Astyanax mexicanus: one gene and its partners. The protein of the gene in region 3 purifies or fractionates together with the protein of the main gene of each other region. This does not show direct contact. Links are inferred from orthologs where the notes say so. Each region holds a gene or a part of one and is shown on either strand. Other genes may lie near its edges. The genes, in order: ywhae1, cdc37, lrrk2 and hsp90ab1.

The links.
Region 1: the proteins of lrrk2 (region 3) and ywhae1 purify together in Homo sapiens (co-immunoprecipitation; 6 studies listed by BioGRID and IntAct, with this or other methods). This does not show direct contact. The link is inferred for Astyanax mexicanus from reciprocal best matches to the Homo sapiens genes LRRK2 and YWHAE.
Region 2: the proteins of lrrk2 (region 3) and cdc37 purify together in Homo sapiens (co-immunoprecipitation; 8 studies listed by BioGRID and IntAct, with this or other methods). This does not show direct contact. The link is inferred for Astyanax mexicanus from reciprocal best matches to the Homo sapiens genes LRRK2 and CDC37.
Region 4: the proteins of lrrk2 (region 3) and hsp90ab1 purify together in Homo sapiens (co-immunoprecipitation; 6 studies listed by BioGRID and IntAct, with this or other methods). This does not show direct contact. The link is inferred for Astyanax mexicanus from reciprocal best matches to the Homo sapiens genes LRRK2 and HSP90AB1.

Annotation. Positions count from the first base shown.
Region 1 is NC_064425.1:15,960,784-15,968,459, reverse strand, and holds the start of ywhae1 (tyrosine 3-monooxygenase/tryptophan 5-monooxygenase activation protein, epsilon polypeptide 1), read left to right. Parts: upstream 1-4,664; 5' UTR 4,665-4,915; coding exon 4,916-4,979; intron 4,980-7,045; coding exon 7,046-7,245; intron 7,246-7,338; coding exon 7,339-7,445; intron 7,446-7,676. UniProt on the Homo sapiens protein: Adapter protein implicated in the regulation of a large spectrum of both general and specialized signaling pathways. Binds to a large number of partners, usually by recognition of a phosphoserine or phosphothreonine motif.
Region 2 is NC_064428.1:42,797,361-42,804,887, forward strand, and holds the start of cdc37 (hsp90 co-chaperone Cdc37), read left to right. Parts: upstream 1-4,511; 5' UTR 4,512-4,653; coding exon 4,654-4,761; intron 4,762-7,527. Other genes in the region: probable serine/threonine-protein kinase nek3, read left to right, coding at 1,096-1,434, 1,702-1,950, 2,523-2,725. UniProt on the Homo sapiens protein: Co-chaperone that binds to numerous kinases and promotes their interaction with the Hsp90 complex, resulting in stabilization and promotion of their activity. Inhibits HSP90AA1 ATPase activity.
Region 3 is NC_064409.1:58,636,949-58,644,592, reverse strand, and holds the start of lrrk2 (leucine-rich repeat serine/threonine-protein kinase 2), read left to right. Parts: upstream 1-4,618; 5' UTR 4,619-4,895; coding exon 4,896-5,034; intron 5,035-5,292; coding exon 5,293-5,375; intron 5,376-6,312; coding exon 6,313-6,422; intron 6,423-7,042; coding exon 7,043-7,131; intron 7,132-7,644. Other genes in the region: slc2a13b (solute carrier family 2 member 13b), read right to left, coding at 1,022-1,181, 1,909-2,416. UniProt on the Homo sapiens protein: Serine/threonine-protein kinase which phosphorylates a broad range of proteins involved in multiple processes such as neuronal plasticity, innate immunity, autophagy, and vesicle trafficking.
Region 4 is NC_064408.1:85,811,814-85,818,850, forward strand, and holds the start of hsp90ab1 (heat shock protein HSP 90-beta), read left to right. Parts: upstream 1-4,032; 5' UTR 4,033-4,165; intron 4,166-5,637; coding exon 5,638-5,781; intron 5,782-6,293; coding exon 6,294-6,500; intron 6,501-6,650; coding exon 6,651-6,810; intron 6,811-7,012; coding exon 7,013-7,037. UniProt on the Homo sapiens protein: Molecular chaperone that promotes the maturation, structural maintenance and proper regulation of specific target proteins involved for instance in cell cycle control and signal transduction. Undergoes a functional cycle linked to its ATPase activity.

The DNA of each region.
Region 1 (7,676 bases), on a different chromosome or scaffold from region 3:
TTCTACTAGATCCTTTTCCTGTCTATCCGCTCATTGTTTTCGTGCCATCATGTCGTTCATGCCAATATATACACTATCTGCAGTAATTTCCTTATTAGACCTTATGCAACCATTTGAAGTTACTTAAGTAGACACTAAACACTACGGACATCTCTATAGGTTATCCTAAGCGGAACTTTGGAGTGTGGCCTAAATATTGTGAGTTTGAGAGAGAAGAGATATCTGCTTGGACTCTAAATGTAAGCAGTGGGGTGTTGCTGTAAGGGACTGTTCCTCTGCATTTGAGTAGCATACACTACTCATACTGATTTGCTAAAAGATGACTGCTACAAAGGGGATTAGTTTGAGCCCTTTATCACACTACAAATCATCTGCCATGTGATTCCATAAAAGGTGTCTGAAGAAATACTGATCATGCTCATATTAATGTTTACTATTACATGCTTAATTTGTATTCCTTTAACCGTTTGTTTTTGTGCACACAGTAATGCTTCAATTGACTTTTGTTAGTTAAAGAAGTGTCCCCTTCATTTCCTGTTGGTCATTACAGAGAAGCTATTCTGGGCAATGAAGACTTTTTTTTTAATTTGGAAGACACCAATCAGTTTTTATAAAAGCACACATAATGATATATTTCCACTTGTGTGCCTGCAAAAAGAAGTCTTTCATTGGGTTTAATGTATAAAAACATTGTGCTTACAAACCTCTCTACAACATCCACCTAAAATGCTATCATGTGCAGATGCTTCAAGAACAACTCACTTTACTACTTTGATATACACTGTAAGATTTGATCACTACATGTAAAGTGTTAACTCAATGCCTCAAACACCTCCCTATCTAAAACTCTTGCACATAACAGTAGCCTTCATCTACAATTGTTTTATGTGTCTGTGCTCCAGCTGAATTAGTGTTTTTCTTTTTAAATAATGTTTGTGATCATGCATCACTGCTTCATAGTGGGATTTTCTCCTAGGAGGTGATATAACACAGTTCCATTAACCAGCAGTTTGCCTTTATTGCAGTTCAAAAACTGAATTAGATAATGTCTAATCTAGTCTGACAACCAGATTGGGAAGTTAAAAATACTGTACTAGAAGGACTTGTAAGCAAGATTTGTGATTTGAAACATTTGTAGTTCATATTTAAACATTAAGTTGTGGGTATGGGAAAATGTATGAATCTGAATTAGGTCGTGTTCACATTACAAAGCTGAAGTGACTCAAAATCAGATTTTTTGCCTGTATGTGCCAGATCAGATTTGAGTGTTTTTGTTTTTTTCCCCCTCTTCTTCCTTCCTATTGTTTCTCTATATGTGGTACTTACTGGATATATATCCGGTATGTTGGAACGTGAAAAATGGAACATTCAGATCAGATTCATATCTGTAGTGTGTACACTTCATCAGTCAGCACTGCTGTTAGTTGAATTCTGTCTCCCAACCGGAATCTGAAAACGTGCGTAAATATATCTTTGTGCACATGCTTGTTGGTTCAGGGACAAATTCATTCACATTACAAATAACTACAGATCATTTACATTTATGAATGTGAAGCATCGAGACGGCCAAAACCGATTTGAGCAAAATCAGAACTGATTATTGAGGCATGTAATGTGAATGTTGCTTTGACGAACAAACCCATAACACTAATGGAACTACCATCAGAAAATAGTTAAGACTACACTGATCATGTTTGCAGTTTTTTGAATGGCTATGTTTTACGTTCTGTCACTTGAACAAGGACAATCACCTGAAAGAATTAAGCTTCTATCATGCGGGAAATATGAAGGTTGGGTATGAAGTAATAATAACTAGTCAGGACAAGCAGCCAGATTGTCACTCAAGTCCTGTTATTAACGGGCTACTTGTCCATTGAGCTATGAAACAAACAAAAAAATAAGTATTTCCAATTTCCAAACGTTTAAAAGGCCAAATAAAATGAATATGAACATTGTTAAATATAACACTACAGCTTCAACATCATTCCAAAGTGTTCTGTTCTCTATCGCAAGGTAAAAAGGATAAAGTCTTACTAATGCACATCATAAGTGCCACTTTAAGCTGTGTCTAGATTGACTGACTGAGAAATGTAACTTTGCCCATGTTTTTATTTTTATTATTTGTACTTAAAGTATTATGTTTACTGTCTAATCCTACAGTCCATTAGTGAGAGTAATATTATATATTTTTTGTGATGTTCATTTTTGTTCACATAATGCCCTTCACAGAACAGCTTCAATATGGGTCAACAATTTTTTTTTTCTTTTGGATCAGCCTGTTCCTGTACATGAAATGAAGTTAACTCCTATAGTAAACCACTTTAACCCCTTTAAATGCTGAGTTTGTCTGTGATTTTTAAAGGCATGCCAGAATAATCACTTTTATCTGAACCATGTAACATCTCCAAAATTAGAATTCATATAAAGAAATATCTGTAACATATATGTATGGTCATGAACTGTTCATACAATGCAATGGATCGCTTTTTGGCCAATATCAAAACCCATAATTGCAATAAATTATATTAGTAATTTTAAGACTGTAGGAATTGTGATAATTTAATAGCATAATAATACAAATACACCCTTTAAAAGAGCAGTTATTTTCTTAAGGTGTCAGATTATTTAGTGCATGTAAACACTCATTAGCTACTGAAATGTTTTCTACTAAATCATTATACAGCTTAATGGATCTATGGCTAAAAACAAAACACAGAAAATGAGTTTTGCTACAGAGAAACCTGTCTCGTTATCTGATGAACATTGGGTGGAAAGATAATGCTAGACAGAATGAGCTATTGTAAGGGGGCTTTTTGTTCATTTTGTGAGCTGTCTGGTTTAGGTTAAAGTAGTGACAAGCTTTGTCTTTGTAATGACGCATGTTTTAAATGCAAATCTGGTGTTCTCTTTCAGCAATTAAAAGAAAGAGAGGTAAGACGAGGACTGTTTAGCTGTTCCACAAATAAATGCTCTAAATGAATCTTTTAGAATAAAACATCATTAATTTTACTCAAACATATACCTAAATAGTGAAATCAGAGAAACTGATTCAGAAACTGAAGTGGTCTCTTATTTTTTTCAGAGCTGTATATGTATATACAGGTCCTTCTCAAAAAAATAGCATATTGTGATAAAGTTCATTATTTTCTGTAATGTACTGATAAACATTAGACTTTCATATATTTTAGATTCATTACACACAACTGAAGTAGTTCAAGCCTTTTATTGTTTTAATATTGATGATTTTGGCAAAAAAAAGTAAAGAAAATAAATTAGCATATTTCATCCAACCAATAAAAGAAAAGTGTTCTTAATACAAAAAAGTCAAGCTTCAAATAATTATGTTCAGTTATGCACTCAATACTTGGTCGGGAATCCTTTTGCAGAATTTACTGCTTCAATGCGGTGTGGCATGGAGGCAATCAGCCTGTGGGACTGCTGAGGTGTTATGGAGGCCCAGGATGCTTCGATAGCGGCCTTAAGCTCATCCAGAGTGTTGGGTCTTGCGTCTCTCAACTTTCTCTTCACAATATCCCACAGATTCTCTATGGGGTTCAGGTCAGGAGAGTTGGCAGGCCAATTGAACACAGTAATACCATGGTCAGTAAACCATTTACCAGTGGTTTTGGCACTGTGAGCAGGTGCCAGGTCGTGCTGAAAAATGAAATCATCTCTATAAAGCTTTTCAGCAGATGGAAGCATGAAGTGCTCCAAAATCTCCTGATAGCTAGCTGCATTGACCCTGTGGACCAACACCAGCAGCTGAGATGGCACCCCAGACCATCACTTACTGTGGGTACTTGACACTGGACTTCAGGCATTTTGGCATTTCCTTCTCCCCAGTCTTCCTCCAGACTCTGGCACCTTGATTTCCGGATGACATGCAAAAAATGAGCAACAGTCCTAGTGCTGCTTCTCTGCAGCCCAGGTCAGGAGCTTCTGCCGCAGTTTCTGGTTCAAAAGTGGCTTGACCTGGTGAATGCGGCACCTGTAGCCCATTTCCTGCACACGCCTGTGCACGGTGGCTCTGGATGTTTCTACTCCAGACTCAGTCCACCGCTTCCGCAAGTCCCCCAAGGTCTGGAATCGGCCCTTCTCCACAATCTTCCTCAGGGTCCGGTCACCTCTTCTCGTTGTGCAGCGTTTTCTGCCACACTTTTTCCTTCCCACAGATTTCCCACTGAGGTGCCTTGATACAGCACTCTGGGAACAGCCTTGCTTGCTTGAGGGTGTCAATGATGGCCTTCTGGACAGCAGTCAGGTCGTCAGTCTTACCCATGATTGCTGTTTTGAGTAATGAACCAGGCTGGGAGTTTTTAAAAGCCTCAGGAATCTTTTGCAGGTGTTTAGAGTTAATTCGTTGATTCAGATGATTAGGTTAATAGCTTATTTAGAGAAGCTTTTCATGATATGCTAATTTTGTGAGATAGGAATTTTGGATTTTCATGAGCTGTATGCCAAAATCATCAGTATTAAAACAATAAAAGACCTGAAATATTTCAGTTGGTGTGCAACAAATCTAAAATATATGAAAGTTTAATTTGTATCATTTCATTATGGAAAAGAATGAACTTTATCACAATATGCAATTTTTTTGAGAAGGACCTCTATAGTATGTGAAATTAAATTGCATTAAGAGAGAGCTGCATGTTGCAGTATGTGTCTGTAAACTTTAGGACAGGTAGGGAGGGAGTAAGTGCTCTAAGCAGGGCTGCTCCCTCCAGCCCTCTGTTGTACAGGGCTGAAGTTCCCGGATGAGCCTCTCTCGCCATTTTTGCCCCAGTGGCGCCGGCGGACAGCGGGGCTTCAACACGGTTCAGGCTGCAGCTGCTTCTCCTACGAGGGCCTGCCGCTTTTACACACACTCCTTTACCGAGAATCCGTCGCTGAATAGGCTCGTGTCACACTTTCCAACATGGCTAACCGGGAGGACTTAGTATACCAAGCCAAGCTCGCCGAGCAGGCGGAGAGATACGACGGTAAGCGGTGTTTTGTGGTGAAAGCTGACTGGGCTAATGCTAATGCTAACGTTTACCGTTAATACTGCGGGCTAGCGGGTCTGTCTGTGTTTCTTCGGGGCCAGGTTTAGGATTAAAACGGGGAGCTGGGGGTGAGAGAGGTGGATAGATAACTGAACTGCCTTCCGATAGAGGTGCTTTAACTTGGCGTTAATTGTATATAGACCCAGTGAGGCTAATTCGACCGTTATTATTCGCTGAGGGACGGTGTGAAGATGGAGACGGTACTGGAACCGACAAAATGGCGGACAGTTATTGGGTGAGGCAGGCTGTTGCTAGCCGAGGCAGGGAGCAGTGGAGACCTCTACACCCCGGTTGACCCCGATAGCTTTAATTATAGGTTACGGGTAGCTTGACCACACGAACCTGCAGGTGTGTGCGTGTGATGGAATGACTGCCTGGCCGCTGTAAAACATCGCAGGTTAAGCTAAGCTAGCCTATGTAACCTAGCTTACCGTAGCTAGCTTGTAGCGCTAGTTACGCTGCAGCAATGCTGGTGCAGACCGGCTAGCTAGCGTTAAATAGCTTTCATAAAGCCTGCTGACTTGGGTGGCTATAAAGACAAGTGATTAATGGTGCTAATTTAGCTAGTTAAGCACCAGAGGGTGACCTAAACTGACCCAAAATGGGAATTGAACACTGTAGGTTTAGTCTGTAGCTAGCTAACCTAATGTGCCTGCTGTAGTAGGCTAGCAGTCATTGTGTAAACCCTCCTCCTGTGAACCATGTGAATGCCGTGTTCAGCAAAAGCTAGGTTAGTTTAGCTAACCAGTTAAATAACTAGGATTATACTCACTTCCCCAGTACAACAGTTGTTGTTGCCATGAAAATAGACATTAAAGATTACTTAACATCCTATATAAAGAGTCAACAATGTACTCGAGTGTATAGCTAGTCGTTTTTTAGCAAGTCATAACTCAGTTTTTTCCTTAGTAATATTTTAAATTTAAGTTTTAAAAGCTTTACAGATTTATAAAGACACAATGACTTGGCATTATTACAAGGACAGCCTATCCTTAATGTGTTTTGACTAGTCATATGGGAATTCACTATCTTATAACTTTAAGCTCTGGAACAGATTGAGGCCACTTTAGTTCTCAATCAGTTTCTTTGATTTTGCTATTTATATGTCTATGTTTGGGTAAAATGAACATTGTTGTTTTGTTCTATAAACTACGCATCACATTTCTCCCAAATTCCAAATAAAAATAGTCATTTAGAGCATTTATTTGCAGAAAATGAGAAATGGCTGAAATATCAAAAAAGATGGAGAAGAAAACAAGGTCATATTGGTTTGATGACTTGTGGTTATTAATCTTCCTCTTGATTATATTCCAGAGATTTTTTAATTTGGTAAGATCAAAGAAACTCATTTTTAAGTGGTCTCTTAATTTTGTTGCTGTATACTCCTTTACCTGTAGGTAACTACACTGTTATTCTTGCTAGTTAAAATGTATAGTATTACATGCCTAGGATTTATTACTAATCAAAACTATATTAGGAATATTTGTCCTTGTCAATTTAATTATGGATATGTGGCCCAGGACTTATAACAAGTAAAAATTACACTGTGGATATTCAGATATCTTCAATTTCCACTAGTATTTTTTTTTTTTTACACAGAGAAATATTTAGTGCTAATCAGTGGCAATATAGCTATGACTAATCAAAATTATACTAAGAATAAGTAATCTTGTCAATATGTGTAGTTAGTATGGATTTATAGATCTATAACTCTGATATCAACTTTCAAAGCTTACCCCTGAAATTATATTTAGAGTGTATACTAATAAAAGCTCTAGTACATGGATCAGTAATTTGAGTGAGTTTTTACTTTGACTTGTTTGCTGAAGTCATATTAAACCAAACAGCTTCTACATCATATGTATTAAATGATGGTGAGAATCTGCATTCACTAATTGTAGAAAGTAGAAAACGTGTCTGTACCTCAGTGCTTGGCATAAGCTCTCTGTGTATAAATGTGTTTGAGTGAGAAACTGCTAATTATTTGCTTTTGGATTTTGCAGAGATGGTTGACTCCATGAAGAAAGTGGCTGGCATGGACGTTGAACTCACAGTTGAAGAAAGAAATCTGCTATCAGTGGCGTACAAGAATGTTATTGGTGCACGAAGAGCATCCTGGAGGATAATTAGCAGTATTGAGCAGAAAGAAGAAAATAAGGGTGGCGAAGACAAACTGAAAATGATCCGGGAGTACAGGCAAACGGTAAGGCGTATGCTCCGCCTGACCCATATCTGATAGTTTTATATTGACAGTATGACTGGTTCTACATCTCAGTCTCCCATGTGTCTTGTTCAGGTTGAGACTGAGCTGAAATCAATCTGCAATGACATCCTTGATGTTTTGGATAAGCACCTAATTCCAGCTGCTAATTCAGGAGAGTCCAAGGTCTTCTACTACAAAATGTATGTAGTCTGCTGTTTCTCATATGGGGGTGTTACTGAATTAAATAAAAACTCTTTAGATTTTATGGTCTCAAAAAAAAATACATGAAAATGCACATTTAATTTTAATGTTAATGAGTAATGTTTTTCAGTGCCACCAGATTGTATCTTTAAGAGTTTTTAGTTGTATTTGATGTGAAATGTTTGACTACTCAAAATGAAAGTAAAGAATGACCACAATTCCTGGCTTGT
Region 2 (7,527 bases), on a different chromosome or scaffold from region 3:
GGCGCTCTATAATACGCTATAATGTTCATATGATCCACACACTCATTCTGAGAGACTGTAATACACTACAGGAAGTGTAGGGGGTGCTCTATAATGTTCATATGATCCACACACTCATTCAGAGAGACTGTAACACACTACAGGAAGCGTAATGAGCACTCTATAATGCTCTATAATGTTCATATGTTCCACACGCTCATTCTGACAGACTGTAATACACTACAGGAAGCGTAGGGGGTGCTCTATAATGCTCTATAATGGTCATATGATCCACACGCTCATTCTGACAGACTGAAATATATTACAGGGAGTGCCGGGGGCGCTCTATAATGGTCATATGATCCACACGCTCATTCTGACAGACTGTAATACACTACAGGAAGTGTAGGGGGTGCTCTATAATGCTCTACAATGTTCATATGATCCACACACTCATTCTGACAGACTGTAATCCACAACAGGATGCATAGGAGGTGCTCTATAATGCTCTATAATGGTCACATGATCCACACGCTCATTCTGACAGACTGTAATACACTACAGGAAGTGTAGGGGGCGCTCTATAATGGTCATATGATCCACACGCTCATTCTGACAGACTGTAATACACTACAGGAAGCGTAGGGAGCACTCTATAATGCTCTATAATGTTTATATGATCCACACACTCATTCTGACAGAGTGTAATACAATACAGGAAGTGCAGGGAGCACTCTATAATGGTATATAATGTTCATATGATCCACACGCTCATTCTGACAGACTGTAATACACTATAGGTAGCGTAGGGGGTGCTCTATAATGCTCTATAAAGTTTGTATGATCCACACACTCAATCTGACAGAGTGTAATACAATACAGGAAGCGCAGGGGGCGCTCTATAATGCTCTATAATGTTTATATGATCCACATGCTCATGCTGACAGACTGTAATACACTACAGGAAGTGTAGGGGGCGCTCTATAATACTCTATAATGGTCATATGATCCACACGCTCATTCTGACAGACTGTAATACACTACAGGAAGTGTAGGGGGCGCTCTATAATGCTCTATAATGGTCATTGTGATGTTTTGGTTGTGGTTTCTCTGCAGAGCGTGCGGACAGTGTGGTGATAGTTCGTGATAATGGTGATTGGTCAGAAGGTGAGCAGAGGAAGCTGAAGTGTGAGATTAAGAATGTGGGTCCAGTCAGTAATCTTACAGTGCAGTGGACCAGACTGGACCAAAACCAAACCAGAACCATCAGGGAGTCCAGGAATTTCACCATTTCTAGTAGAATGGAAGAAAAGGGGGATGTGACGGACACTCTGGAGGTTTGGACCAGTCCAGAAGAAGATGGAGTCCAGTATCAGTGTTCGGCTCTACTGGACCTGATCCAGTTCAAACAACAACAAGTGGACGAATCCCAACCCTTCAACATAACCGTACTCTGTGAGTTCACCTGTAAACCAATCTGAATTTTTACTGTAGTCCAGTCCTGTTCCTTCAACTTACTTCATTCTTTCTCTGCTGGAAACATTTGGGGAATTTAGCGAGTCAGCTAACGTCAACTAGCATGGAATTCTTTAGGGTTTGAGTTATTTGCATACAACATTAAATCAGAACACAGAGTTGTGTTGTCATTGTTGTGCAGTTTAACTCTAATGGTATGTCTCAGAGAAGTAGCAATTGGTTCTTTCTTTATTCTTTTCCCATCAGATAAACCCATCATAACACGGCCGTCTGCTGCCACTGTATCCAAAACTGCGGGCGACGCGCTGACGTTTTACTGTTCGGCACGAGGAAAACCGAAGCCTCAGTTTACCTGGACCACAGGTAACTCAAACATCACGCACTCCCCCCTCCTCAACATCAGCAACGTCCAGTCAGAACATCAGGGAAATTACACCTGTATCGCCTCCAACAGCAAAGGCTCCGCCTCCGTGACGGTGACGGTTACCGTTTCAGGTGAGTGAAATTCAGGGTAAACGTCCATCACATGTACAGGTGTAGTTACTGCAGGGCTGATGCTGCATGTTTCAGATTTTGCTCCCCCAAAATCAAAGTGAATCCTACCATTATCACGTTTTTTCACTCTCCTGAAAACATTAATCCCATTAGCAACTAATAACACTTTGCCCTTATTAACCAATTAACCAATTAACCGCATCCAAGATCCTGCAGGAACCTTCTGAGCTATCAGTCTCAATCCCACTATAGCTTTATTTATTTCAGCCAAATTTCATGTAAATAGAAATTATATTTCTGGAGAAAATGAGCCCTAAACATTGTTTCCCAGCAGTGATCATTTTCTTAATAAACAAAAATATTTTTTCATGACCTTTTTTCATACAGAAAACAAAATGAGAACTAAATAAAAAGTAACAAGTAAAAACTAAGACTATGACATGTATTATGTTTTTATAAAGAAATAAAATTTTATATTTCTCCAGTGATCAGAACATATTACTTAAAGATTAGAACAGCCTAAACATAAATCACACAAATCTGACCTAATCTCCTGATGTTCCTTCATCTAGTGCCCTCATCAGAAGACAACCTGCCAATCATCGCTAGCTGTGTTGCGGTTGCGGTGGCATTGCTGATAGTTGGACTCTTTGTTTGGTACTGCAAGCATTACCGGCACACACACATGGGCCGCTACATCCTGAGGAACCTGGCGTCCCGGCGGCACAACGCCAACGTGGCCCATTGCGACTCTCAGACCCTCCAGTCACACTGATGTTCTGATGTTTTGAAGTTTTCTGAAAAACCCCACGCAGCACAGCGGTCTCAGATATTCTAGCCCGCATACCACTGGTGGTCACAATTATGAACAGTGAATAAATGGTATTTTTATCTTCAGTAAACTGATCTGAGAGAAATAGTTTCCATATATATGTAATGTGTACAGGCTGCAGGTGCTAATCTTAGCTAATACACAATACAGCACAATACACCTTCTCATTGAATGGATTATGTATTTAGAAATAACTGACCTACTACTTTACACATTTTTTTTGCATTAAAAATAATAAATCTAATAATGGTTGATTTTCTTTGCTGTAAATGTGTTTGTTACACTGGAGGGAAAAACCTAACAATGCATAATAGACTTTTTTATTATAGTTATTTACAGGAGCTGTATGTAATATATTTACAATGTACAACTTTATAAAATTATGATGTGTGATCAGATATTAAGAAAATATGATAAGTTTAAGCTTAACATCAGAGCTTCAGTCAGTATATTCTTCTTTAGATTGTTTTTACTGAGCAGAAGTCTGTACAATGTAGCATCAGAGGAGTGGTTATGGGTGTGGAAACACAACACTTTCCACAATGCTCTGGCACTGGAAAACTATTTAACCCAGTGAATGGAGAAGGCTAAATTGTCCAGATCAAAGACTGAGCTGAACAGACACATAGTGTCGGAAAATGTCTTGAAGAATCTTTAAGAAAACTATTAACCTTACAAGTGTTCTACTTTTAGGTTCCTGATAGAGCACTTCATACGAAATTATGTCCAGAGGCATTTGCAAGTGATGAAATTGTATGTAGAACTGCAAATGTATAACAATCATACACATGAGTTCTATTTTTAATTACTGTAATCATATAATAGAGATTTAACAGTATTTTCCCCTGATAAAACAGAACCTAATGAGATGATAATGAACTCAGGAAGAACTCAGGCTTTAAAATACAGCAGAACCTGAGCTGTGGAGGAAACACCTTTAACATTAGTGTTGACACAGAGACCACAGGATATGTTCAGAGGTCCTGTATAGTCCAGGCTTTGCTTGGGCCAGAACTGATCGCTCAATGAACCAAACAATGAACCAAGTCTCAGAACCGCCTGCAGATTCTGCATCTCCGCTCTGTAGTACTGAATCTCCTGAAATTCTGTTCTTTCTTTAGTCTTTAGCCACCCCTAGTGGAGCAACTTAATCATTACAGCCTCTTTCTGGTTTACTATAAATACTACTGGTTTATTATTAATCAGATTATTAAGCTGATCAGTTTAATTATTAAACACTGTACACGTGTGTGTTTGTATTTCAGTAAAATAAGTATTTATGATATATGTAAACCAGAGTGATTTATAATTCAATAAATGTTTGGTTTTTATACCTCAGTACTCCTGCCCCTGCACACACTTTCATTTTATACCTCTGAATTTCTAATTCCTCTTATATGTAAGAATATGTTTTAATCGTATGTATAATTGTATTTTTATGTATACAATATATTGTTTTATATACATGAGTATATATATATATATATATATATATATATATATATATATATATATATATATTATTTATATTAGAATTGTGTGTGTGTATTAGATGTTTAGATAATTGTGTATAGATTATGTGTATTGATTATGTATTGTGATATGCATGCATCGATTACTGCACCGTGCGTTTCTATTGGACTGGTGACACTGTTGCTATGGTAACCGCTGCAGCTCTCTGCGGTAACACAGCCGGAAGGGGCGTGGTGATCCACCTCGTTGCCCCGCCCTCTGGCGCCGGAAGTGTTGGAGAGTTCCAGAAGGCGCGTGGGGTGGAGAGGAGAGCTCTAGAAGAAAGAGGAGAGCGCGATTATTGATTATTATTATACAAAATCAATCTGATTGGGAATTAGAGGAGAATAAACAGAGCCATGACAACTATCGATTACAGCGTGTGGGATCATATCGAGGTGTCTGACGATGAGGATGATACACACCCCAACATCGACACACCGAGCCTGTTCAGGTGGAGACACCAGGTAACAACACACTTGATTCTGTACACAGGTTCCACCTTATACACCTGTTATATAGAGGAGATCTGGCTGCTCTCTGTTTTCTGTTCTACTGTAATACTGGACCTTTCTGTGTTTTACATTACTCACAAGAGAGACCAGTTATTTGCTGCTTCATTCTCTAAATCTTTAAAAATCTACCTCAGTATCTGCTGTGATCATCTATGTTCTATATGTTACATATCTCTGCACCTTATTCTCTCTTAAACACTGCACTGTCCTGCCTGTTAAACTGTGTCGTCTGTTGTATTTATTGTAGTGTTATAGTTTTATGTTGCACTATCATAACACTTTTACAATTTTATGTTGTGCATTGTATTGTTGTTCCATGTTGCACCATGGATCCGAGATCAGTAAGTTTCTTACACTGTGTATCTGTACTCTTTAGTCTTTTGACTTGAGTTTCAGGCTAAAACCCACAAATACATCAAGCCTAAATCCTGCTTAATACAGAAATATATATAATATATAACAGAAATATATAATATATATATAAACCCATCTGAGTCATTTATCATCACATCATGTTTAAACCAGTGTAAATCATTTCCTTTTCGCCGTGGAACAATTGAAGTATTAAACTGTAATAATGGACATTTACCTTACCTGTACAAATCCGTGTACATCCACTGCATGGTCATTGTGCTCAAACAGAACTTACAGTAAATTAAACACATCTACATCGATTATTTAACTAATAAGAATATAAGAGGTAATATAGTAATAGTGAGTTATGTGCTTTCTGGCTGGAAACACCCCGATTAGCTATAAAGCTAAAGCTTAGTCTCAAAGCTTTGAAAGTTAAAAACCGAAAAATAATTGCAATTTTTGCATACGTAAGGCAGTAATACTAATCAAAACCAAACACGGGTAATTTCGTTAAATGGGGTTAGTAGAATATAGCACATTATAAATCAAATAATTAGTAAAATACTGGGAAAAAAATAATGCTGACTGTTAAACTAATGCAATTAAATCACAACCCCGTACTGACCCAGAGCTGTGACATGTCTATAACGCCACACTAGATAAAGCATTAATCACTAATGTAATGAGCTATATCGGGTTACTGCGCCTTAAATTATATAAATTATACAATATTAATAAAATCTACCTTAACAAACGCTAAGCTAAGCTAGCTTTGAGTGAACAGCAGCAGAGGCTAATTTCTTCTCAGAACTCAAACTCCACTATTGCTGAATTATAAATAAGTTAAACTTAATATACAGATTAATACACTAATGTACAGATAATTAACCGTTTATATGGTCAACAGAAAGACTGATATCACAGTAAATCCTCGCTGTTAGCCGCTGATAGCTAACCAGGCTTACAGTGTGACCGGTGGTGGAGCTAGCTTAGCTCATTTCCCCTCAGAACCGGAGCTAAATCTCACTACTGTCGCTTTTAACACACCAATAAAGCATTAAAGCATTTTAAATCATTAACCACGCGCTTTAAATCAGTTCCGCTGATTTCAGAATCTTACATTACATATAATAATAACCGAAAAATAATAAACACGGGACATTAGCTGATGCTAACCGCTAGCCTAGCTGACTCACTGAAAACTCTATACAGGCTAAGCTAAGCTAGGGTAAGCTAACTAATTCCTCAGACTGATTCTGACTACAATTTGTGAAAAACTCGAGTATTTTTCAGATTTTAAAGCAGCAGGTCGCTGATTTAAGAGATTAAATAAACACTGAAACGCAGTCGAAGCTAATTTACCTCAGAACTTTAAACTTAAAAACAGCAGTAAATGATCTGTATCTCCTAACGGGGTTAAACTCGGTTAAACCCGCCGCTTTATCTCAACTATCTCAATTTCTAATAACGGATTTAATTAAATAAAACAAGAAGATACGTGATTTAGATAATTAGCTCTTTAGGTTAGCTGGCTAACCCGTTAGCGGTGCTGCTGGATAAATTCTGCGTTTATATTACATTATATTATATAATGTTGTATTATTATATTCAATAATATTGTATTGTTTATATTATATTTTAATATATTGTATTGTTTGTTGTGGTTTAATGAAATCTGTTCACTGTTTCGAGCTGGACATTCTGTGTTTCAGCACAGCCAAATCAAATTAAATCAGAATTAACAGTGTTAATTAACAGGGTTAATTGTGATTCAAACACTTGTATTTTAGATTAACTGACACTACAGTGTTGTAAAGATGGTAGTATGTCATCTGTTACTATTGTGCCTGTGTTTAAATTTATCTAAATTATCAATAAAATGATTTAATATAAAAGTTATATTTTCTGTTAACAGGCGTGGGTGTGTGAGGAGAAGGTCTATATACATTTTCCTCTTTTAATGTATCCTCTTTTTAATCAGTTGATTAATCTTTAGGATTAGGGAGTGGGGTTCTTTGCTGGTGTTGGTAAAAGTATAGACTGGCTAAGCTGGTTAAGCTTCAGTAAGCTAGTGCTGATCAACTTATTATTTTAGAACAGGGTCCTGTTATTTTTTGTGTAGGAAATGCATAGATTTCGTTCATTGCTTCAGGTATAAATTCTAAATCCTTTATTAAATCTGCATTATCATGATGAGTCTAATAGGAGTTCTTGTTCTTAAAGTTAATGTAAATTGACTCTGGGTATAAAAAAATTCAGCTTTAGCTTATTGTTAGTTTTATTGTTGTAAATATTTTGATTATTCAGAATTACTCTGTAATGTCTGTATCATTGACAGTATTGTATAATATTTTTGTTAGT
Region 3 (7,644 bases):
AGGTCAGAAATGTCATGATCTTTCCTTTTTTATTTGTTTTTGTTGTGTTATTTCCTCACATTTTAAATGTAATACATTTACAATGTAATCTTACTGTTCCAGCTAACATGCTGCTATGTTGTTCACATGTGTAGAACAATGGCTAGGCGAGATCCATGTGGCTCTGAGTGGGTTTGTAAATGTGTTGTTACTGGGACCGGGTTGGGCTTCCTAAATGGGCCCCATAATGACAGTCTGCCTAAGTCTCATGTGGATCCTATCTAGGCCCCATATGCAGTGTACAACCCAGATGGGGCACATGTTTATTCTTTCTCCATCTTTGTTCTGATGTAGCCCATTACTGACATACATACAGCTCTTGAAAAAAAATAAGAGACCACTTCAGTTTCTCTGATTTTTATATTTATAGGTACACGTTTTTAGTAAAATGAAGATTGTTGTTTTATTCTATAAACTACAGACAAAATTTCTCCCAAATATCAAAAAAAGAATATCGTCATTTAGAGCATTTATTTGCAGAAAATGAGAAATGGCTGAAAAAACTAAAAAGATGCAGAGCTTTCAGACCTCAAATAATGCAAAGAAAACAAGTTCATATTGATAAAGTTTTAGAAGTTCAGAAATCAATATTTGGTGGAATAACCCTGGTTTTTAATCACAAAATTTTATGCATCTTGGCATGTTCTTCTCCACCAGTCTTACACAATGATTTGGATAACTTTATGCCATTCCTGGTGCAAAAATTCAAGCAGTTAAGCTTGGTTTGTGATCCATCCATCTTGCTCTTGATTACATTCCAAAGGTTTTCAGTTTGGTAAAATCAAAGAAACTCATAATTTTTAAGTGGTCTCTTATTTTTTCCAGAGCTGTATGTGAAAAAAACTTTCTAGTTCCCACTTTGGCTACTCATATAAGCATGTTTACTACATTGTTAACAAGGGTGTAATTAATCTATTTTTTATATAAATCAAAACAGCAAAACAAATGAAAAAAATATATATAAGCCTACTCATGTACATACCTCCATCCTCCATGGCTCAAGTAACTGAAAGCCCCATCCACCACACTGGCTATAAACTGACCGCCGGTGATAAAGAGGGTGTTTATGGTGACAAGTTGACCTCTGAGGTGAGAAGGAGAGACCTCAGCAATGTACACAGGCACTGTCATAGAAGCTATACCTGTGGAAATAAAACAGTATATACTTTTAAACTGAATTTTAAGACAGTAGGTCTACATAAATAAATTAAATGTCTACTACATCAATCTCCAAAAGAATCCAGGCTTCTAAATAGTAAAAATGACTTGCACAGGAATTCACTGCTTTTAGATTTAGATGTTCTAGAGAAACATAAATTGTGACAATGCCCAATACCAAGAATGGGCTAAAAGAGCATAATGCCCATCAGAATTGGTGTACAGAGCAGTGAAGCTGTGTTCTCTGCAGTGAACAGGAAAATAAAGGTGGAACTTTTAATCCAGAAATAATAATTGTATACCAATAACAGTAATAACAGTTATGTTCTTGTGGCAGAATGCAATCGAATTTGCACATGTTGAGACCCAACATGTGACGTAAACCTGTCCAACCTGTGCTGCATAACACTGATGGGGATTTGTCCTTTAGGCTCTTTTGTCACGCACCACAGATCAGCTGCTCACCATCCAGCCTCCAGCTTCTGCCATCTACCTTCAGTTAATTTTTTTTTTGCCACCATCACCACTTTTTTACTTCTTGTAACTGGTCAGAAAGTACAAACCAACTAAAAAGTCCTTTCAAACTGCAAAAAAATGGATCGTATTATTCATTTAAGACCAGCTGTTTTAGTCCAGAGCAAGGTAGGGATGAAAGTACTTTCTATAAACCACGTCTATATATATATATTGTGTTATTTATCTGGGACTTACCTATGCCAAGCCCAACGATGAGTCGCCCAACAAGAAGGACCTCTTTATTGGGTGACAGACTCAGAACCACGCCCCCGACTGAGAAGATGAAGCTGGCCAGCAGAATGCACAGTCTACGCCCCAGCGCTCCGTTCAGAAAACCCCCAGCCAGGGCCGCGACCGCCGCCGCCCCCACCGTGCTGGAGACCAGCAGCTCCTGCCACAGTGCGCTCAGCTTCAGCTCCTTCTTCAGCAGCAGCATGGCTCCAGACACCACCCCGGTGTCGTAGCCGAACAGGAATCCTCCCAGCGCCGAGAAGAAGGCCAGGAGGTAGACGAACCTGGCGGAGCCATCAGAACCTCCCCCAGCAGCAGCAGCAGCAGAGTTAGAGGGTCGGGTGTTGATGGACGGAGCGGTGATCAGACTGCGCTCTTCCTCCATCCCCCTCCCAGCGCTCATCACCTCCTCCTCCATGATCCACAGCTCCACACCACCATCCTCCTCCAAATCACAGAGAAGCACAGACATCCATTTAAAACAAGCACCCAGCGAGCCGACAACGCGAGACCGCGAGGTGAGGAAGTGTGCACAGATTAAAACTCTAAACCCCACTAAACTCCAGAGACACTGACATACAGACTGAAATTCAGCAGCTTATACAAAACGTAAACATCGAAACGTGGAGCACAACTCAACATGCGCACTACTCTCTCGCCACGCAGTGGGGGCGTGGTCACGAGTATGACGCCAATTAATGGGCGTGTAAAGACAGGAATGCTGATTTTCACATTAAAAAAAAAATCAAACACTCAAATTAAAATCTACGTAGCATGACTGAAACCCTTTCCCACACATACCCCAGTTTTAAAAAAAATCCTAATAGTCACTCGAATTAGCTTCTTCCTGAGTCTTTTCAACTCTTTCAGACACTGCATCCATTACAATGGACATAATATATTTGCTTTCATTTTTAAATGTTTTGTTGCACATAACATTAATTGAGAGATGCTTTTCATCAGAACAGACAAGAAACCAGCCAATGATCAAGTTTATAAAGCAACGAAACAGTAACTTGGACCCATCCACAGCAAAAACACTGGAAAAAAAAACTGTTTAGGGATGGTTTATGAAATAAAAAGATCAATAAGAATAAAAAAATATTACAAACAATGAAAATGAAATGTAAATAAAAAATAATAATTTATAATTTATTAAATATTTTAGTTAATTTAATTTATTTGCTTTATAGATTTTATAGTAGAATATTAGAGTCTTCTTTTCTGTGCATTACAGACAAAAAAACAGTATTCTTTCAGTTTTCCATCACTGGAAATTAAGGTCTGAAAGGTTTAAAATACAGGCGATCTGTGTGGAAGATCTACTGTACAGCTTTGTTAGGATAGTGTAACTTAATTTTAATATATTGATGTGAAAACACATCTAGTCCTAGCCTTAGGAAATTAGATTAAATGTAATTTACCAAATCTATGGTTGGTTGATAAAAGTAAAAAAATATATATATTTTTATAAAACCTTACATTGATTGCGATACATGATTGCAGACAAAATTTAGCACAGATCTTCCAAACTGACAACATTGAATTATGCTCTCTTTAGTTACATTTTAAAACAACAAATTGTGGAGTCACATATACAACTCGCTCCAACAGGCTTGTGTTAACTACACTGCAAAAAGTAGTTTTAAGGTTACAATTAAATAAACTGAATAAATATTTAATAAATCAAATAAATATTTGTCTTAATCATTATTTAATTCAGAGTATCTATTTGAGCTGAATAAGTCCAATTCAGTTGCTTGATACTGCATCAAGTATTTTTCAGGTTTTCCCTTACTTAATATACGGTCATAATACAGTGTAATAGCGCCACGCCGTGGGGACGAGACCATAAATATGACGTCGAGCAATGGGTGTGGTCTGACATGGAATAGCTCAGTTTAAGAAATACGCGATAGGCTAAATTATTTTAGAAAACATACAAACAAATAGAAATAATATTATAAGATATATTTTCTTACATTAACTAATGGGCGTTCTGCAATTTTACATATTTTAATCTGTGTGACATTCTTAAAATAAACTTATTTTTGTCGTTTTGAAAGACACATTACATTTCTGGACAAATAAATCTCAAAGGTTTGGTTTCTGTGTTCAGAAAACACAAGCCCGAAACCAGCGTGTTCTGCCGAGTTACGCTACCCATCAGTTTGTGCTACTTGGCTGCATTGCGCATGCGCGGACTCAAGTTTAGTATGTTTCGTGTGATTTTTAAAAAAATCATAATTCTGTTTTCTGGGGTGCATTATAGCTGCGTTATACAGTATTTCTGACGTGGTGCTTTTAGCCTATCGAAATAGCAAATCTCCTGTTTAGTTAAGCTAGCTTTACGTCCAAATATACTCTGTGGTAGCACGATTTGCGGAGTAAGCACAACTCGTCAGGACACCGGCACAATTTTTTCAATAAAAAAAATACAACCTAAACAGCTGACTAGCTATAAACACCTATATTTATATTTAGCTGTTAGATTAACTCACCTCTCGCAGTAAATCTTCTATTAGTTACAGGTCTTGGTGTTGGAGGAGTAGTCTGTGCAGTTCCCCCTCTTGCTCCTGCTGCTGAAGCTTCTTCCTGTTTGAAAGTTGCTCCTCCAGTCATATGACTCACAGGTCGCTTATTACTGCGGCCAGTCCCGCCTGAGGACTACAGCCGAGGAGAGACCGCTAAAGAGACGGGCATGCTTTCCTCACACGGCGTGGAGCAGAAGGGGAACTAAGCATGTTTCCACTATTTCACAGAGTTAGAGAGTCCAGCGGCGGCGGTAGAGACGCTCAGTGAAGTTTCCTCACGTGTCTGGTGTTGGAGAAAAGCGGGCTGTGCTGCGCAGTGGTGGCGCTCGCTGTATTTACACTGTGTTTAATGTGCCAGTGGAAAGGTTTTACACATGTGTTTAGTGCCAGCCGAGGGCCAGCACTGTAACCAGCACCATGGTGAACAAACAGGACCTGGAGGAAAGCGTGAAGAAGCTGTTAGTGAGGCTGAAGAACCTGGAGGAGGGCAAGCAGCTGGGCACCATGGTCCAGATCATGCAGGACCTGCTGTTCCTCGCTCACACAGAGGAATATGGTAAGATCATTAGCCAGCTAGCAAGCTATGGCCAGTGTAAATAAACATGCATGCTGGGGATTTAGCTAGTTTAGCTAGGTCATTTGTGTTGGAGTGTAGTCTATTAACTGGTCAATTCTCTCTGAGTGTTGTTATTGTTGCAGCAGGCTGTAGTCAGTAGTCAGTACACACACAGGCTGGGCTATATTTGAATGAGCTTCTGTCACTTGGGGGGATATTTTTGGAAATGTAAGCCCCTCTCTCCCTTCTGGTGTTCAGCTGCAGAGCTATTTGAGGACAAAAATGTCCATGAGCCACTGATGCTGGTGTTATCAACCTACAGCAACAGCAAAGTTCAACAGGTAAGAATCACTTCTACACTGCATTACATAAAATAAACAAATATTTTGACACACATCTACCACATTTAGCTTTGAGGATCGATTTGCACACACTGGTATTTATATCTCAGAGATAGTCACCTGAAATACAGCTCTGACCAAAAATTAAGAGACCACTTCAGTTTCTAAATCAGTTTTTCTGATTTTGCTATTTGCAGGTATATATTTGAGTAAAACGAACGTTGTTGTTTCATTCTATAAACATTTCTCCCAGATTCAAAATAAACATATTGTAATTTAGAGCATTTATTTGCAGAAAATGAGAAATGGTCAAAATAACAAAAAACATGCACCTCAAATTATGCAAAATATTAAAGTCTTAATATTAATAACGTTTTAAGAGTTCAAAAATCAATATTTGGTGCAATAACCCTGGTTTTTAATCATAATTTTCATGCATCTTGGCATGTTCTACTCCACCAGTCTTACACACTGCTTTATGCCACTCCTGATGCAAAAATTCAAGCAGTTCACCTTGGTTTGATGGCTTGTGATCATCCATCTTCCTCCTGCTTATATTCCAGAGGTTTTTAATTTGGTAAAATCAAAGAAACTCATCATTTTAAGTGGTCTCTTATTTATTTTTTCAGAGCTGTAGTTTTTTCAGCGACTTGAAGGAGTTCCTGGAGGTGCTGAACAATAGTTGCTGCTTTTAATCCCAAATCACTCATCTCAGTTTGGTTTAGATCAGAGGATTGTGGAGACCAAAGACATTTAATTTTAAAGTCTTTAATATAAATCTACAATGTAGAAAATAAATAAAGAAAATAAATAAATAACGTAAAACATTGTATGAGAAAGTGTGCCCAAATGTTTGACTGATACTATATATATATATACTATGTCAGCCATATACATAAAGCAACGTATTGATGGACCCTTGCCTCCTTTAACGCAGGTGGGATGGTCTCTACTGTGTCGTCTGATGGAGATCTGCCCTGCCACTCTAGACAAGCTGGTCAGGCCGCTGGGAGCTGGGAGTAGCTGGGAAGTTTTAGGTGTCCACCAGTAAGTATGAAACTGGCTGTTTATTTGCAGTGCAGTGATGCTTGTAATATTAATAAACATATAAGCAGCAAAGAAAGAATGGGCTCAAAGTTAATCATCCTAATTTAAGGGTGTACAAACAGTATGATTATTCTAATTCTTGTTTGGATGGAGTACAGTCTAAGACATTGCAGTGTTAAGTACAGGACATTATTGAGATATCAGTTTTAAATAAGTATCTGCTGCTAGTGGTATATTTTGTCTACATGTCAGACTATTGCAAAAAATATTTTGTATTGTGAAAACGTCTTGTGATGTTGCATTGTGTTGTAACCTTATCCTCCCATATCTCCCACCCTATGCAAAGGTACAGTAGAGTGTCAATACATACCTGTCCCTAGATATTTATGACGGAGCCAGAAACATTTTAGGGAGTTGACTGATAAGAGCTGGGAAAGAAAAATAATATAACTGAAAGTGAAAGTAGCCTTATTTTAACTTCAGGTATGTAATGCCTGTCCATTGCCCCAGTAAGAAAGTCTGAAAAACAGGTTAAGCTGAAAAACAGTGTTTATGATATGCTCCCAGTGTGTTTCTGAATGCTGGCTTTTGTGTGTGTGTGTGCGCATTTGCAAATCCAGGCAAATTCTGAAGGTGCTGTTCGTGCATAATGAAGACTGTAAAGTGGTAATGATAGGACTGCGGGTTCTAGCCTTGCTGTTAAAGTCAGGTAAGCCTGTTCTAATCAGTCTGTTTTACTAATTGTTCACTTATTATTTTTTTTACACAGCATTTTTTAAATTTCCAGAGAAGACTGTTATGGACAGTGAAAATTGGGCCAATCACAGATTATAAGTGATGTTTATCTGGAGTCTGTTCCTCCTAGACTGTATGGACTCCCTATATGCTATTTATAGATGTGTGTTATATTATAGTGAAGATTTATGGCACTAAGGAGAGATATGCGGTTATTACTGCTGATCATGAGTGCGCAGCTGTACGGCCTCTTCTGTATTCAGTCTCAGTCTGGGTCATGCTGCACCATGCTGCACCAAGTTTGCTGTACCACTGCCCTACTTAATCAGGTTCAGCTGCTTGTCTTCTACAGCAAACACCCAGGCAGGCTACATTACTGTAAATCGGTACTTCCTTATGTAAGCTGCTTTTAATGCACTGCATTAACTTAATATCACACACAAAACAAATGAGTGTGTGATAGTAGACAGTGTGTTAGTATAATGAG
Region 4 (7,037 bases), on a different chromosome or scaffold from region 3:
AAAAAACCCACAGCATTTAACCCTGAACAAATCAGTCACTGAAATTAGTCAGAAAAAATATGTTATACATTTCAATAATAATCCTTATATTTACCACTGTACTGTATTTTATAAATAGAGTTTAAAATGTATGTAAAATTATAAGGTAAACAAGATTAATTAAACAAGTAAACATAACGTGTTGTTTGAATGAAAGTTTTTATCAATAAAACATAACTTAACTGTGGTTTATTACATCTGTGTTCAATTTCTAAAGCTTCACCCAGGTCTAATTACTGTCACACCTGTTTTCAATCAAGAAATCACTTAAATAAGACCTGCCTGACAAAGCCAAGAAGACCAATAGATACTCAAAAGTTTAGAGATTTCATACCTCAAACTGCTGGCCTCATTTGCCTCAGTTAAGGTCAGCGTTCATAACTTCACCATAAAAAAGGAAAAAATGACCTGCATGGCAAAGTGCCAAGACAAAAATGACTGCTGAGCAAAAAGAACATTAATGCTCATCTTAAATTTGCAAGAGAATTTGGCGTAAAAGTAACACAGCATAAGAAAAAAATCATACCTACAGTGAAACATGGTGGTGGTAGTTTGGGGCTTTTTTGCTGCTTCAGGTCCTGGAAGTTTTGCTGTGATAAATGGAACCAAGAATTCTGCCATCTAACAAAAATCCTGAAGGAGATGTCTGGCCTTCAGTTTTTCTCCCTTATTATTAAAAACATTAACGTTTTTCAAAAACTGCATTTTGTGTTTACTTGTTTTTTGTTGGGTAATATTTAAATTAGTTTTATGATCTGAAACATTTAAAAGTGACAAACATGCACAAAATTAAAAATATGAGGGAAGCAAACACTTTTTTCACACCACTGCATTTATCTGACCCCTTGCTATGTACCAAGTATTTCTCAGCTTGCATTGTTTACAGAAACCAACAGTCAACATGCAAATCTAGGCATTTGGACCGCTCTTTCAATGTATTATTGTATTGTTTACAGCTGTGGTGCAGTTTTATAATGACTATTAGAATCATTATACTATACATTATACTATTATACTAGAGTTTAATTTGCAATAATTTTCTTCAAAATAAAAGTTGCCTTTTTAAATCAAATAACGTATAAATAAACAACAGATATGTGTATTTTAACGCATTAGAGATATAAATAATTTATTTAATTTTGACCTCATCTTATATTATCTCACAGGAAAATGCGTATTGTTGTTCCCCTCTGTGAGACAATATATTAATACACATAAAAATATTAAAATAAAATATTGTGTGATTTTGAAGCATTAATTCGTTTTTTTGGTGTCACTTGAATATTTATGAGATGATGAGGTCCAAGTTCAGGTAGGGAACTCTTTTATAACTAGGCGTTATTTTATTAGGAGTTTATTTTCCTCCTCGGTGAGGAACTTTTAAGTCGGTAAATCTGGAAGTTGCGCCGGAGAGACGCGTGTTCCTGACGGCTGCGTGACGTCACTTTTAGGCGGGTTTTTCATGGAAAGTGCTAGAAAGAGCCGAAGCACCGCCGCCTCGGAGCGCTGATATCCCTCCGTGACAAAAACGAGTGCAGCGGATCCTTCGCTTCTTTTGTGCGTTTAATCGTTTCTTGCGTGCCACCCCTTAGTTATTTAGTATTAAATAAGACAATACAAGAATATTACTTCCAAAAATATATATTATTACTATTCGTTCAGTCTAACCACTCATATTATTTAGCCTAGGTGAATCTCATGCTGTACAGAGTGGGGTATATTTAATTTACTGCAGATCTTATATAATTTATAGTATTGTAATCATAAATCGATAATGTGTGGATAATAGCTGCTCTTTATATGTTATTTATAAATATTAAAGTAGACATTTCCATGCATCTTAACACAGGGTTATCAATGCTTTATTATTATTATTATGTTATATGAAAATTATTTTTTTTAAACAGTCCTACGTATGGACACTAATATAGTAGTACTAAAATAGTAGCTGACACATTATAAGATAACTTCTGACCTGAAGTAAAGATGCAGGAATAAATAAGTAAATTAAAAAAGTTGGCAATTATGTTGCACATCCAATGAGAGCTGTTATACCATTAAGATCCCCTCTTATGGTTTAGGGAGTGGACCAAACCATACCCAGGGTGGCGAAGGTTAAGGGAGGGGAAATCTATTTTTTTTTTGTTAGAGCCAAAAAAAAAATAGTAACTGTGTGTCCCAGTATCCACAATAGATATGAATTTAAAAGGAAAGCAACCAGCAGGCCTGTTTAGGAACGTTGCAAGAAACAACCCTGGTTGGTTGGAAAGGACTGACCATGATTTCAGAACCATATCAGACAGATGTTTAGATGTGTGTTATGTATGATATATAATTGTGCTTATTTATTATTTATTTATATTTAAGTCCAGTCCAAGTGGAGAATGTTTGGGTGGCACTGGTCTGCTGCAATAAAATATAGCTAATAATAGAATATTATTCATATAATGTCTGGCATGCTCTCTATTAGGATTAGCCCTCTTAATGTCAATTTCTCAACAGTAAATTACACTTTTTGTATTAGTATTGAATACATGAAAAACTGCTTCTGAGAAAGAGGACACTAACTAACTATTTATGTTATATTAACTAAAAGAACCTGTACAGGCTAACACAATTTGGAAAATTGTGTTTCTCTGGCTGTAGCATCACAGGGGATCAACCAACAATCTCCTGTTGACAGGTCCAATGTGTAGATGGCTGCAATTGGGAGCTTGAACCTTATATAAAGACCAAATAGGCTGATGTGTCTGTGTGTAAGGCAAAACTCAAAGACAGAGATATGGTATTTTTAATGTTATAGAAATTATTGTTTAATATTACATAAGCATGACAAACATTTTATGTTTGAACAACTTTTATTTTGTAATACTGGAGAACTGCCTATATGGGTGTATAAAAGTATTAATGTTTACTTGTGTTCAGGTGGCACAGTGTGGCTGAGAACATAGTGTCTGTATGGCGGGTATCATGGACCCTGTCGTTGTGGGTTCAAACCTTTTAAAGGTAAACAGCAAAACTGACAGAGTTGCTGCTCACCTCCAAAACATCATAGGTGAACTGGGTATGCCAAATCATGAACGAAAGTGTGTGGTACTGGCCTGCGGTCCAGATGACCCTGACCAGAAACAAGGGAATGAGAAAACAGGAAGGCACCCTGAATGTCTGAAATTAAGTATGGCATCATTACCATCTTCAGGTGTAGTTTGTTGGGTGAAAAATGCTAATAAATAACACTATTGCAACTTAAGGAACTAGCTGTTGACATAAGGCAGTAAGACATCAAGGCAGGGGCATAACCTCCGACCCATTAAAAAGGCACGATTTTAAAACAGCTTAGATTTAGATTTTTACCATTTTTTTAGCAGTTTTCCGAACCTGGATTAAACCTAGTCTTGGACTACACAGCATTTTGAATAGAGATTCTACACTGAAAGGAACATATTGTCAAAGACTAGGCTGGGAAACTTTATTGTATAGCAAAGCCAAGCTAGTTGACATGCACGGCCAGCATAGGATTTTACCTGATTCAACCATATTGACTAACTGAAACCAGCTTCCAGCTAAAACGCAGCTTTTGTAAATGTGTCATTATGATTGGGAAATAAACTGAAATGATGCAAAGCTAGTACACAGGCTAATATCCCAAAACATTCAATTTTATTAAGGAAATACAGTCAAACAATTCAAAACATTTGACTGACACTTCACACATATAAATTTGCAGTTAAATGTGAATAAGATATTAATATATAAACTACAAATATACAGTTGTTTACATTACTATAACAGGCAAGTGGATAATCTGAATTAAAAAATTAATGTGTGCGATTATAACAGCACATTTATTTTTCAACAGAACGTTTATTTATTCAGAATGTATACTATAACAATAAACATGTCTATTCTAATGTCTATTAACATCATCATTAGAAAGGTTAACTTTGCCCAGTGCAAACAGAACACAGTGTAGACCCAGCGTAGACCCAGCCCAGCCCGCGGAGTGATACGCCGCATGTTCGACGGTTACATAAAGATACGCTGCTGCGGCGCAGCATCACTGTTGGAGGAGATCTGAAGGGTTTGGCAGCATTTATTTCAAGAGAAATCACCGAAACTAATCAAGGTGAGTTCTCCCGTTCACACGACGCGGTTGAGTCTCGTGTTCTCTTCTTTAAAACGATAAACCCGGCAGTGTTGCGGCCTCATTGTGTTTATTTAGACAGATGAACGGCTGTGGAGGAGAGCCGCTAACAAAGACTCGGAGCAGCGTTAACTGAAACTACAGACCGGCGGAGCTCAGCGTTTCAGCTCCGCTCACCGGCCAAAAACACTTAAACTCGCTTAGTTTATCGTGATTCTGGTGAGACACGACCTCTGACAGGTTTATTTGGGTGTTTATTTTAGTAAATTAGTTAGTGAGTTGGGATTCGTCGTGATGAGCTGTGGTTACCCGTTCTTTCAGCAGGTGCAGCGCTCGGGCCGGGGGAGTTAAGCTAGCGCTAGTTAACGGTGGATTTAGCTGACGGGTGGAAGGTTACTGTTTCTATAGTCGTGATGAGGCTTCAGTAATACAGCTTGGTTAGCTAGCTAGCTAACCTAGTTAACTATTACTTCTGTTATATAATGGCGTTCACTAATGTAGGTGAAATAATAGGCCCCTGAACATTAACCGTAACTCTAATTATATGAGCCGTACAGCGTTAGCTTCTCTATCTGCTAGTTAACGCTAAGCTAACTAGCGTTAACTTAATTTCAGGCCAACCAGCCTAAACACGCGCTAGCTAACTAGCTAACTGACGATTTAGCTAACCCAGCTTAGCCAATCTAATCAATAAGCTAATGAAGTTACATGGAACGCTAAAATGCCAATTTTCAGCCACAAAACACCAATAAATTCTGTTTTAAATCCGCGTGTAAGATCTGAACGTTAGCTAAAAGCCATGTGCTCCGGCTTGAAGGACCGGTTTCTCCATTCGTGTCTAATGTAACTTACACTTTAATCACACTTTAAATCGTGTAAACTCACTAAGTTAACTGTCTAATGGCCGTATTTTTAGTTTAAATTAACGTGATCTCTCCTAGTAAAAGCCAGAACATAAATATAAAACTCGGAGTTTTCCGGCTCTCGGCTTTCTTCGTCAAGCACGTGTCTCCTCCATTGTACGCTGGTCCGGTTACGCCATGTTGGGTAATTGAATGGGGGCGGTCAAGAGCAACTTCAGTTCAGGCTTTAGACGAGTTCAGAGTTTTTATCGAAGCAGTTCCAAACAAAAAAAATCCATTTAGGAGTAAATAGTTTTCTAATCCATACTCCATAACGGTATTTATGACGTTAAATACGTAAGTTTTAAAATTAGTCTATGATTCTAACAAAAGTTCTGTTCAGTGATAGTCTGTCACTTACACTGTTATAATCCTCTAAATCTTAAAAGAATTCGGTAGGGTTTTTTCCCCACAGACTACAGTTAGAAAAAAGATCTTCCAAGTTAATACCCCGAGTCACTTGGAGCTGTTCGCTATGCGGAAACTGAACTGAAACAGAAAGTGAGGAATATCTTTAAGGTGGTGTGACTCAGTGTTATTTCTCTTCTCCAGATGCCTGAAGAAATGCGCCAAGAGGAGGAGGCTGAGACCTTTGCCTTCCAGGCAGAGATCGCTCAGCTGATGTCCCTCATCATTAACACCTTCTATTCCAACAAAGAGATCTTCCTCAGGGAGCTTATTTCCAACGCCTCTGATGTAAGTGCTAGTGTTGATTTAATATTTTTTATTTATTTGATTTATTTATTAAAGCAAGTTGAATTTAATAGAACACTGAAAACAATAGGTGGATTCTGTGAAGTTTGTACATACAGAATTTAAAATTTATTTTTAATTTACTTTAGCGCTTTATAAAATGCACAAAAAAATAATGCATAATGCAGCTATATTTATAAAATAGTTATGCTATATGTTAACACCAGTGGCCAGATTTTTATTATTGTCAAGGCTAGGGAATTGCAATTTTATACAGAATTATTCATAATCAGTTGGTGTATATTACGAAGAAAAATGTTTTACTATATAAGCTTGTACCATAATATATTCAGTAAGTGTAATGTTAGTCATCGAGTACTGTAATACTTTGGCTGCAGAAAATATTTCTAACAGATATTAATGCTAAGGTTGAGTGTTTGTTGATGGAAGCTAAACATTTTAGATTTTTTACATTTAAAAAAAAAAAAAAAATCACCTCTCCCTCTTCCTTATAGGCCCTTGACAAAATCCGATATGAAAGTCTGACTGATCCATCTAAACTAGACAGTGGGAAGGACCTGAAGATTGACATCATTCCCAACAAGCTTGAGCGCACGCTGACCCTTGTGGACACTGGAATTGGTATGACTAAGGCTGATCTCATCAATAACTTGGGTACCATTGCCAAGTCAGGGACCAAAGCCTTCATGGAAGCTCTTCAGGTAAACAAATGAGGTGTTCTAAATGAAATCCATTAGTTTTTGCTGTATATTAAGTATGTTGCCTACAAATGGTTTAATCAAATCACATTTACCTAGATTAAAACTTTAGTTTGACTGCATATATATTCATTTTTTCCCCCTTTGTTTCAGGCTGGTGCAGATATCTCCATGATTGGACAGTTTGGTGTGGGCTTCTACTCTGCTTACCTGGTTGCTGAGAAGGTGGTAGTGATTACCAAGCACAATGATGATGAGCAGTATGCCTGGGAGTCCTCTGCTGGTGGCTCTTTCACAGTCAAAGTTGATAATGGTAAGTTTTGGAAACTTGCCTAAATTACTCCTTGATTATTTGGATGAAGGGGGGGGGGGTGAATTTTTGTTAATGGCATCCAAGCAAAATACAGTAAACTGTAAAGAACAGCAAGCAAATTACATTGAGACTTTAAAAATAACTGTATTTTGCTTAACCTTAGTATGTGCATGTGTATCTTACCCCCGTGTTTTGTTTACAGGTGAGCCCATTGGTCGTGGAACTAA